Linked DNA regions of Nothobranchius furzeri. The protein of the gene in region 1 interacts with the protein of each later gene in a pairwise test. Links are inferred from orthologs where the notes say so. Each region holds a gene or a part of one and is shown in the gene's direction. Other genes may lie near its edges. The genes, in order: wbp11, itsn1 and ddx17.

Region 1 (3,261 bases):
TCCTGGCGCTGTATGGCATTCCTTCTCGACGATCTTACGGCTCTGACGCAGGTAGCCCGCTGACAGATGCTAGCATGGGTTAGGTTGGTGCGGAGATCAGGGCGACGCTTCCCACTCCCCTCCCTGTCATTTTGACCAGTGATACAAGCAGGTCGGCTGTTTTATACTAGGGTTCGAGCCACGGCTGCCAGAAAGAGGACGTAATGTTTTTTAGATTTTTATTGAGGAAATATTTTGGGAACGGACATTTAAAGAAAGCTGCAGACTTGGTTATCCATGGTAGAATAAACGGCTTCCTCCAGGTCACGAATCGGCTAAGTGACTAGTAAATATCAGAAGAAGAAGAAAATATCATTTCTATAGCGCCTCTCAAGATAAAAATCACGAGGCGCTTCACAAAAACAAAAAATGTAAAAATATAAAAAAGCATGGCATTACAGCAAAAAATTGCTGGAATGCTATGTTGTCAACAACGGTAATTTCTACTTCTACTATGGTGTAGTGTTGGATGCATGCCGTAGAGCATTTTTTAACAGCGTCCTCGTCTTTTCCGACAGTGCGAGCTATTTCTCTCCAAGAATTATTAACAACATGTTGATCACGGTGATCTCTGAGAGCTGAATCATACAAATGTCTGTATTTACGAACCTCTGCCGTACTAGTTCTTGCCGGTCCGCCATGTTTTTCCGTGTCCGACCGTCCGCGTGGTTAGAAAATGTCCTAGGTGCGCGTTGAGGAAATTTTGGGCCGTGCGGAGGCGCGGTGGAGGGGCGTGGTTTTTAAAATGACGCAACTTTTTCGCGCGGAGCCGTGCGGACCTCGCGGACGCGTCAAGCATAAACGAACCTTGCTTGTCTGAGCTAACGTGTGCCGTCAGAAACATTCAAACCATTTTTAAAAGAGAAGTTCAGCTTTCAAGTCAACTAAAGTGCGCGACTCTGCGCTCGTGCTGATGAAGCATAAACCAAGCTTTAGAAATCTGCCTGAACCTGCTGATGTGGGAGGAGTTTCTCTCTCCCTTACTCAACTATGTTCTCTCTCTCTCTCTCTCTCTGTCCCGGGCCCACCCACGGTGCATTATTATCGGCTCTAGCAGCGCTGTGTGTGGGAACATGAAACAGGGAAAATAACCTGAACATGCAGCTCTGGCAGCTGTGGAGCTGGGCTCGGCTCTGGGCGGTACACCCCACCCCCCTCCCCCTCGCTGGCTTTTGCCGCCGCCACGCCATAACACAGGGGGAAACCCCCGGATGTAAAAAAAAGTTACACAACTGATCCTGGATCAGTCGAAACCGCTAAAACCACAGCTTTGACGTTCACGTGATCGTGCTGTTTGAAATCGCGATTTTGGTCCAAAAACGATAGTTCAGCCCTATTCTGCTCAATAAGCCTGTTTATTGTAGAGCTGTTACTAGATATCTCAGATTAAATTGGGATTAAACCCTAATTTTCATGACTTGATGAAAAATCTGAAAGCGAGGAGTATTTTTGTGCTTTTGTTTAATCCGTCATCAGATCTCTCCATTCCTGGCTTGGAGAAGGAATCTGCCCTGGACTTGGGCCGGGATCAGTACAGCGGCAGCGAGAGCGACAGAGATCGGGACGATCTGGATGACAACAGTGACTCTGATGAAGACAGCGAAGAGGACAGGGACGAGGAGGGAGACGGCGAGCAGCGAGGGCGTGCGGAGCGGCGGGCTGATGGCGGGGAACGGGAGGAGGACAGAGACAGAAGTGAAAGACATGCCGGTCAGTGCTGCAGTGTGTTTGAGCTCCTGAGTGTAATCCTAATGGCTTCGGGTCCCTCGTGAACGTGTCGTTCGGGTCTCTGACTTGCTGCAGGACGCAGCGTACGCTTCGCAGATCTGCCAGGAGATGATTCCCATGATGGGAAGAAGAAGAGAGGGGCGAAGAAGACCAAGGCCATTACGCCTCTGCAGGCCATGATGTTGAGGATGGCAGGTACGGTCATGTGATCACGTTCCGCCTCACGTCCTGTTCAGAACTAGGGTGCATGACAAGTCTGTCGTCCTCAGGTCAGTCGGTTCCCGACGAGGAAGAAGAGGAGGAGGAGGGAGAGGAGGAGTTCACAGATGAGTCGGACGCGTCTGACACCGAGGACCGGGCTCCACCGGCAGACGGCCAGTCCCAAGTCGTGGCCAGTCAGCGCCTCCCCCCTCCTGTTGGGGCCGTGGGTCAGCAGGGACCCCCTCCACCTTTACAAGGCCCACCGATGACTGGTCCTCCTCCACTGGGCCCACCACCAGCTCCTCCAATGAGACCTCCCGGTCCCCCGTCCGGCCCACCTCCTGGCCCCCCACCAGGTTAGCTTCATTCAGAAGAGATGACTGTTTTGGTGGCGGGACGCGTTTCTTATTTTCTCTTCTGTTTAGGCGCTCCTCCGTTTTTGAGGCCACCTGGTATGCCCGGAGGAATTAGGGGCCCGATGCCTCGTCTTCTGCCCCCTGGTCCTCCACCAGGTCGACCCCCTGGTCCTCCGCCAGGCCCTCCTCCCGGTCTTCCACCAGGTCCTCCACCCCGCGGACCCCCACCCAGACTACCACCCCCGGCACCACCAGGTAGGTGTATAAAGCTACAAGGAGGTACTGCGTAGTTTAATGGATGTGACTGCACACACCTCAGTGGTCAGCGGTTCCATCAGGACAGGTCTTCTCGTTGCCGGGTTGTCCTCTGTGACTTTTCCAGGTGTTGCATTCAGCTCCGTTTCCAACCAGACGACTCTGTTTCAGGGTAAAGCTCACGAGCCCATGCTTGAAAACTGCTCACCACGCACTCTGTAGCGACACGACAGACCTTCGGACCCGTAAACCCGGGAGCGAGGTGAACGTCGTGCTGCTACCGGCGTCTGTTGTCCCTCAGGCTTGCCGTAGTTAGAGGAGGACGCGCTGGGGTTCATGGGGTTGGAGGTAGAGGAAGGAATGACATTCAGGAAGTAACCCGAGGTTTGGGGATCCAGGCAAAAATGCTTAGAGACACTGTGTGTGTGTGTGTGTGTGTGTGTGTGTGTGTGTGTGTGTGTGTGTGTGTGTGTGTGTGTGTGTGTGTGTGTGTGTAGACACGGAAGTGGCTGGGCAGCCGTGGTGCTGCTCAACAGTGTCCCTCACCAGCAGAATTTCACACGTTTGATTTTCCTGCCACCGCGTGATTGCCAGTCGGGGGCTGGTCGCGAGGCGTTGGTCGCTTTGGTGACCCCGGTATACGACACAAAGCTCAACGCAGAGCTCGGCTCGACCTCCCAGA
Region 2 (3,650 bases), about 27 Mb from region 1:
AGGACACAACAGCAGAATTCTCTGGTAGGAGCCAAGATCAAACCTGCAACCTTGCAATTACTGGACAACCCGCTCAACCTCCTGAGCTACTGCTGAAAAAAAAGCAAAAAATCTAATTATGTTTTAAAATGGTTCAGCCCTGAAGTTCCCTAGCGTTCAGACAGGAACCTTCCTGCACCATCGTGCTGCTTCCGACCTCTGTTCATCGTTTCCCTGCAGGGCTCTTCGGGTGAGGAAGAAGATGTCCGGTGATCGGATGCCTGTGAAGATGATAGGTGACATCCTGACCAACCAGCTTCCCCACATGCAGCCATACATCAGGTTCTGTCCGTCCTCTGCTGTCACTACATTACTTGTAAAAACCTGAATGATAATTTGTGAGAGTGATCTCATTTTTTTTGGGTTAAGATTCTGTTCGTGTCAGCTGAACGGAGCCACGCTGATCCAGCAGAAAACCGACGACAACCCTGAGATCAAAGACTTCCTGAAGGTAACCTGCCTCGAGAACAGTGGTCATATCCTCCCTCAGCAATTTGTTTCTGATGCTTCGTGTTTACACCAGAGGTTGGCCATGGATCCCAGGTGCAAGGGGATGCCTCTGTCTAGTTTCCTCCTCAAACCCATGCAAAGAGTCACACGCTACCCTCTCATCATCAAAAACGTATGAACCACACACACACACCTCTAGTCAGTCTGAGCAGCCAAGGTGTCTGACGGCTCTTTGTGCTTTCACAGATCTTGGAAAACACTCCAGAGTCTCACCCAGATCACAGCCACCTGAAAGCTGCTCTGGAGAAAGCTGAGGAGCTCTGCTCACAGGTAGACCTCTCGAACTGTACATTTAGGCCGGGTTACCTCCTGATTTGATCACATCTGGACCTTTTCGTGCTCTGCTATGACGGAGGGATGGATGTTCCATGTTTGAAACCCTGTCTGATGTGTTTGTTAAGCGTATGCTTCTGTGTTTTTAGGTGAATGAAGGCGTCAGAGAAAAGGAGAACTCTGATCGTCTGGAGTGGATTCAGGCTCATGTGCAGTGTGAGGGACTCTCAGAGGTAAAATTGTTTACTTGCTAGCTCAGTGGTTTGACTTTTTCATTAATTGAATAAAAATAATAAGATAAATTTTCTCCACGTCTTTTAGCAACTGGTGTTTAACTCGGTCACCAACTGTCTGGGACCCAGGAAGTTCCTCCACAGTGGGAAACTGTTCAAAGCAAAAAGCAGCAAGGAGCTTTATGGCTTCCTGTTCAACGACTTCCTGCTACTGACACAGGTGAGTCTGAGTGCCGTTAGCTGGCCTTCCATTTAAACACATCCTCTGTTCAATGGCATTTTCAGAAATTGGAGAAAAAAGGATGTCCTTTTAAAGCAGAAACCCAATGTTTTTTGTCAGAAGAAACCATCAAGAGGCAGAAAAGTGGATTGCTAGGGAACCAGGCAGGAAACTCCGGATTCCTGCCTTAACAGCTGCAGTGAAATGTTGGGTTTCAAAAAGTGCATTTTGTCAGATATTTCTAAGGTTACTGAAGTATAATTACAAGATTAGTTTGTTTCAAAAGCTTTTATTGAGTTGCGTGATGTAAAGGGTCCTAATTTGCTGTAACAGCTTTGCAGTTCACCCTGTCATGTTGTCCTCTGGTCCAAATCCTAACTGATGTTTAGTTTGTTGCCTGCTTCTTGAGGATTGACCCCACACATTCTCAATGGGATTAAGGTCTGGGGAGTTTACTGAACCTGGATCCAGAACTTGTTCCTTCTGGCCCAGTGCTCCATCATGCTAGAGAAGACTTTATTCATCACCAAACCATGCTCTGTTGGTTGGAGGAGTTCCTCTGGGATGATGTTTTGGTACCATTTTTGTTCATGGCTGTGTTCTGTGAGCTAAACTGTGACTGAGTCCACTCCCTGAGAAGTGCTGGATCCACTTTAGGAGACTGTTCTGATTGCTGTACAGAGAAACTTTGCCTGGAGCTACTGGTGTTGTGTCAAAATGTGTTCTCCCTTCAAACACCAGCCCACTTGGTGACGTCTGCACCTGAACAACAGAGCATTTGGTTGTCTTGTTTCTAATCCTGCCTCATCAAATACTGGATTAACACTTGTTTTGAAGATGAAACCGTCTTATTTCAGGTCACCAAACCTCTGGGGTCATCAGGATCAGACAAAGTCTTCTCCTCAAAAACACACCTGCAGTATCGCATGTACAAAACGGTGAGATGGTTCACAAACACCCTCCTGCACTCACCTTTTTTTGCATTAGAAAACAAAGTTTTGTCTTTTTTCTTCATTATTCTGTGATTCATTTAAAATTTGACTCCAGCTATAACTGATCTTTGTTTTAACTTTAATATTTTACAATCAAGTCTATTTTATATCTTTTCTTTGACTTTTTGAAGCCTGAAACAACACAGTGAATCATTATGTTTGTTATGAAATTGATCACTAAATGAATCTACTGTGAGAGAAGGTCCTTTTTACCTGATACTTCTTGCTTTTTTTCAGCCAATCTTCCTGAATGAAGTGTTAGTGAAACTGCCAACGGACCCTTCAGGAGACGAGCCTCTGTTCCACATCTCTCACATAGACCGGGTTTACACCCTCAGAGCCGAAAGCATCAATGAAAGGTAAAGATAAACGCGGCTGGTCCAAACCCGCCTGGAGTCTCTGAATCAGAAAAAACACACTCTTGGAGACTTTGTGTAAGCAGACTGATTCTGATCCTTAAAAACCAACTTAAGTCGTTTTGTTCATGAAAACAGCTGATGAAAGTTTTTTATAAATGTGAGAGTCGGTGTGTTTGTGCAGGACGGCGTGGGTTCAGAAGATCAAGGCAGCTTCAGAGCTCTTCATTGAGACGGAGAAGAAGAAGAGGGAGAAGGCGTATTTAGGTAGTTGTCCTTCACATCAACAGACTATTTTCATCATCTCTAGAGTGAAAGCTGACTTGTCTGCTTTTCTCTGTCCCAGTGCGTTCTCAGAGGGCGACGGGTATCGGTCGACTGATGGTCAACATCGTAGAGGGGATCGAGCTCAAACCCTGCCGCTCTCACGGTACGTAAACTCTACTTCTATTGAAACTAATCATTAGCAAGGATGCACCAACGCAAATACTTGGACAGACACTAATGCTGCAGTTATGGCAGCTAACTGATATTTACTGATGTTTTCTATATTTTCCCACACTTTCCAGGCTGTGTAAAAGTGACCACAACACTTACATTGCTCTTCTGCTTTGGTTGAACACACCACTCCTGTGCTGCATCACTGTCTCTGTCATTTCCAGTCAGATACCACATAACCCCCCCCCCCCCCCCCCCCCCCCAAAAAAAAACCAAAAGGGATCCACAAGCAGCAACAAGATGGAAATAAACATGGGTCGTTTATTTCAATAAGCCCAGTTTTACTTATCAACAGTGATAGGAATAACGCCATTTAAAATAACCGCATTGCTAAAAAAAAATTTCTTTCAGTAACGAGCAAACTAATTAATTACCGTCTTCTTTTATCAAAACGTCGTTTCTGTTACTGATCAGAAAATGCGTGAGTTAAGCAGCGTGGTGTGTTGAAGCTGTCATCAGCTGATCAGGAGCTACAGAGGTAGATGTTTTCATCCAAGCGCATCACGGCCCGTGAAGAACGAGGAAGACG
Region 3 (4,302 bases), on another chromosome or scaffold:
GGATCTATCCCACCACCCTCTGATCACTGGGCAACCCGCCTCCTGAGCTACTGCTGCCCCAAATCGTCTGTATTACAATTTGATGACTAATGCATGAGCATTCAGATCCAGGAAAAATAGATAAAGATATCTACCTGAAACACCTGAGTAGACAAATCAAATAATTGTGTCATAAAGTTTGTAACCAAACAGATTGATGCGTTCTGTGATAGGTTTGTATTTACCGTCTGCTGGAGTTGTTGTTGCAAACTCTCTTTGCTGAACATACAGGAGGCACTTTGGGTCCACTTCAACCAGAGGCCTGGAGCGAAAGGTTCTAGCATGTTCCTGTAACATAAGAACACATCATGCGTTACAACAACTTAAGTGCCTCATACCTGACAGGTAAAAGTTTTTGACCAGTCTTATTTGACCCCAGAGATTCTAGACGTGGGTTTGACAAGCAGTTCTTTAGGCTTTGGGTGTTTCCCATTATAATTTCCTACCCAGTCCTTGTACCTGATATGGTGAGTTGTGTACTTATGAGGAACAGAGGAAAGTGGTTAGAACAACAGAAGAGTCAGACCTTACAAGGGAAAAAAGGGCAGGCTATATTTAGTGTTTTAGTACTTTTGTACTTCTTTCTACCTGAATACAAAGAGGAAATCATTGTTATTAGCTTGCATCATTGTTTTGCTAGTGACTTGTACTATTTAAAACTAATTAAAACGTGTTTCTTATGATTAGGCAAAACAGCGATTTCTTTCAAATGCAAAAAACTTGATGGTGTGACATTCAGAAGAGTACAGTCTAATATAAAAGACTTAAACAGCGTTAACCGACGAAGTCAGTGTTTACTTGCTAAAATTATTGAACAGCTAATAGCCACACTAACCTGTAAATGTGGATATTTGCTGAACAACTCCTCTGTCGACCTTATGCGGCCAAGTTCTCTACCCTGAATGAACAAAGGCATTTCTTTAACGAGCGTCACTTGATAATCAGCTAGTTCATGCTTTAAAAATGTCAATAACTTAAAAACGTCACGTCCAAACGCCTGTCTGTCTCATCTCGACTTGAACTTCCTGCAGCTGTTGTCTTCTTCGTTTCCTCGTGAAACGCATGGACGACTCGGTGCAATGTCGCCCCCTTCTGGTTGATATACAGACCTTTTATTTTCTTGTTTACTAGAACCAGATAAAGATGTTTTAAACGCACTATTGTCCAGTTTAGCTTTTTTTCATTTATAGGTTGCAATACACATTTTTCTACGTTTTAGTTGTTAAACAAGCTCTCGTTTTCGACGACACCATTTTTTTGTTCTAATTGCATTCACCATTGCTTTTAGTCAGGTTACGTAAGTGCTAAGGCTTTTTTAGAGACGGCACCACTCACGACGCTACGTTAACGTACTAGCAGGAACAACGTCATCGGGTTTGAGAAAAACAAGCTAGGTTAGTTCGTGACGCATATAGCTGTTGTTGGTCACAATGTTATTGTAGCGTTGTTATTGCCTAATTCGTGTATTATAGTTCACTAGGATTTAATTTTTGTGTCTTTATCTAATTTGCATTTCTTTAATTCTGAACGCAACGTCAACAAATCGACTCCAGCTAACGCGAAAAATACTACGGGTAAGAATATTTGCGTTGCCGACATGAGAGGGGGTTCATCTTATGGAGACAGGGACAGAGACCGTGGACGAGACAGGTTAGTTATTGTTGTTGGTGATTTTCAAAACGCTTGATCTATTTGCCGTGAAATCATATGATCAACTGAGAATGAGAAAATTCCCGAAACTAAACACGAAGGCGCCAAAGGGGCCTAAAGACTGTTTTCAATTCATTTGACTCCTCTGTCTCACCAATGACGAGGTTTGTTTTCCTACTCTCGAGTCGTTGTAAAACCACTAAACAACGGCATCGGTGAAATGTGAAGAAGTTGGAGCTCGGCAGCTCAGTGAATAGATAGATGTTGGACCATGGTTGGGACTGAGGCCCTCTGGACTTTGTTTACGGATTTGTTGCTTTTAATAAGCAGATGTGTTTCTGAAAAATTGTGTTCAATAAACCAGGAAATAAACTCTCAAATCTGTAGATTTTAAACTAAACTCAAGTTCTCAAAATATGGAAAAATATATTTTTCCACAGGCAGAAAACACACACACACACACACACACACACACACACACACACAGGGTTCACTCTGAACTCTGACCCATATTGCTCAGTGGTGTTGAAAAACAACCAGTTTAGAAAGACATTCTTTGTATCTGGCGCCATCTAGTGGTCACATAGCCTGTGACTAAATCACCGCTGCTGGAGAATCTTTTCCAATAACCCTTTAGGCCCTAGGCCTTTTTTCTTTGGGCCCTGGCGCCTCCCAAACAATGGGGGCCTTTGGCGTTTCATGTCCCAAGTGTGAGTGATTGTTTGCATTCCCCGAGCACAGCTACAGCTACAATCAAAATAGTTTAGATAGTAAACAAAGCAATTTTTGGTTTCTGATACATTAAGATAAAATGATACTTGAACTTTATTTTAGAAGAGCTGCCCTGTGTAAACGTGCTGACAGGATGGAGGTTGTGAGTTCAAATTCCATTTAGGAAATTTAGTCAATTGTTGTATTTATTCCAGGGGTCCTCAACTACATTTGTTCAAGGTTTTTTTTTTCCAGCAGACACCAGAGAAGGTCAGATGCTCTTCTAAAGTAAAGTTCAAACATCATTGTATCTTAATTTATTACAATTTAAAATGGCCTTTTTTCCCACCTGGGCTGTTTGATTGTGGTTTTAGTTTGGAGTATGTGGACAGTAGTAGATGATTGGGACATGAAACTGTAGAGGCCCCCGGTTGGAGGGTGTTGGGGTTAAACAGGATGAATGTTTTGAGAAATTGTGTACGGTTACTGGATATTACCGCGGATAATGCTAATAAGGTTTATCATTTGTTATTCTGTATTTTTTTGTACTAGATTTTGTAAAAAAAAAAAAAAAAACATTTTAAATTCAGTCATTTAATCAAAACTTTCAAACTATGTCACTATTATATACTGTATACAACTATATCATGTGTTTTATCATGGTTTTATATTTACTACTCATGTATTGTTTTTGTGCTTGTTTGAGTGTTTTATTTCCTTTTACTGTACAATGACCTCGAGTTTTAGAACGATGCTTCAAATAAAGCTTGTTATTATTATTATTAGTAGTAGCATTACAGGTGCAGATAAAGATAAAAACCACAGGTGAAGCCCAAGTGTGGCGTTGACATCCGTCAACCTGCTCCTCGTACTAATTCCTCTGATTCTTCTTTTACCTCTTGAAACATCTCAGGCCAAGGTTTGGAGGGGGCATGGGTGGCCGCAACGGACCACCACCCATGAAGTTTGGTAACCCCGGTGAGCGTCTTCGCAAGAAAAGATGGAACCTGGATGAGCTGCCAAAGTTTGAAAAGAACTTCTACAACGAACACCCAGAGGTCCAACGAATGAGTCAGGTATGTTTCTTCTTCTTGCATACAGTTGTTTCAGAAGAACACAACACATTTCATGTCTCTTCTTCTATTTCTTGTTGCTTTATCCCAGTATGACATTGAAGAGATTCGCAGGAAGAAGGAGGTCACCGTCAGAGGCTCAGGCTGCCCAAAGCCTTTAACTGCTTTCCACCAGGCACATTTTCCTCGTGAGGGAACACACCTAATACTGCACACACAAATAATATTTAACAAATTCATCAACAATGAATTTTCTGTAAAACATCTAAGGGCTTAACATGTTAATACCTTCAATTGATGCTGATAATCTCCTGCTTTTGCCCTATAGAGTATGTGATGGATGTTCTGATGCATCAGAACTTCAAGGAGCCCACAGCGATCCAGTCCCAGGGTTTCCCTGTGGCCTTGAGCGGCAAGGACATGGTGGGAATCGCTCAGACGGGCTCTGGAAAGACACTGGCTGTAAGAATTCATCCCTGAAAGCCTATCATCATTAACAAATGGGCAATGACAGTTTAACATGATTGTTTTTTTGTTCCTTGCAGTACCTTCTTCCAGCTATTGTTCACATTAATCACCAGCCCTATCTGGAAAGGGGGGATGGTCCTATAGTGAGTACAAACGTGACACAACCTCAGACTGGAGATTTGCATCTAAATCTTAATGCTTGTGTGCACACAAAGCTAGCTGGTCATCATTCTGTATCCCTACAGTGTCTGGTCCTCGCTCCAACTAGAGAGCTGGCCCAGCAGGTTCAGCAGGTCGCTTTCGACTACGGCAAGTCATCCCGCATCAAAAGCACCTGCGTCTATGGTGGAGCACCAAAAGG

What was found.
Region 2: the proteins of wbp11 (region 1) and itsn1 interact in a two-hybrid assay, tested with the Homo sapiens proteins (2 studies listed by BioGRID and IntAct). The link is inferred for Nothobranchius furzeri from reciprocal best matches to the Homo sapiens genes WBP11 and ITSN1.
Region 3: the proteins of wbp11 (region 1) and ddx17 interact in a two-hybrid assay, tested with the Homo sapiens proteins (3 studies listed by BioGRID and IntAct). The link is inferred for Nothobranchius furzeri from reciprocal best matches to the Homo sapiens genes WBP11 and DDX17.

What each region holds. Positions count from the first base shown.
Region 1 is NC_091752.1:67,492,796-67,496,056, reverse strand, and holds part of wbp11 (WW domain-binding protein 11), read left to right. Parts: coding exon 1-51; intron 52-1,515; coding exon 1,516-1,749; intron 1,750-1,842; coding exon 1,843-1,962; intron 1,963-2,036; coding exon 2,037-2,324; intron 2,325-2,393; coding exon 2,394-2,579; intron 2,580-3,261. UniProt on the Homo sapiens protein: Activates pre-mRNA splicing. May inhibit PP1 phosphatase activity.
Region 2 is NC_091752.1:40,915,249-40,918,898, reverse strand, and holds part of itsn1 (intersectin-1), read left to right. Parts: intron 1-219; coding exon 220-321; intron 322-408; coding exon 409-490; intron 491-562; coding exon 563-661; intron 662-735; coding exon 736-819; intron 820-971; coding exon 972-1,055; intron 1,056-1,143; coding exon 1,144-1,275; intron 1,276-2,132; coding exon 2,133-2,213; intron 2,214-2,504; coding exon 2,505-2,626; intron 2,627-2,807; coding exon 2,808-2,890; intron 2,891-2,969; coding exon 2,970-3,053; intron 3,054-3,650. UniProt on the Homo sapiens protein: Adapter protein that provides a link between the endocytic membrane traffic and the actin assembly machinery. Acts as a guanine nucleotide exchange factor (GEF) for CDC42, and thereby stimulates actin nucleation mediated by WASL and the ARP2/3 complex.
Region 3 is NC_091746.1:24,951,234-24,955,535, forward strand, and holds the start of ddx17 (probable ATP-dependent RNA helicase DDX17), read left to right. Parts: upstream 1-1,436; 5' UTR 1,437-1,636; coding exon 1,637-1,689; intron 1,690-3,313; coding exon 3,314-3,476; intron 3,477-3,564; coding exon 3,565-3,661; intron 3,662-3,801; coding exon 3,802-3,935; intron 3,936-4,018; coding exon 4,019-4,084; intron 4,085-4,186; coding exon 4,187-4,302. Other genes in the region: ntan1 (protein N-terminal asparagine amidohydrolase), read right to left, coding at 225-327, 875-955. UniProt on the Homo sapiens protein: As an RNA helicase, unwinds RNA and alters RNA structures through ATP binding and hydrolysis.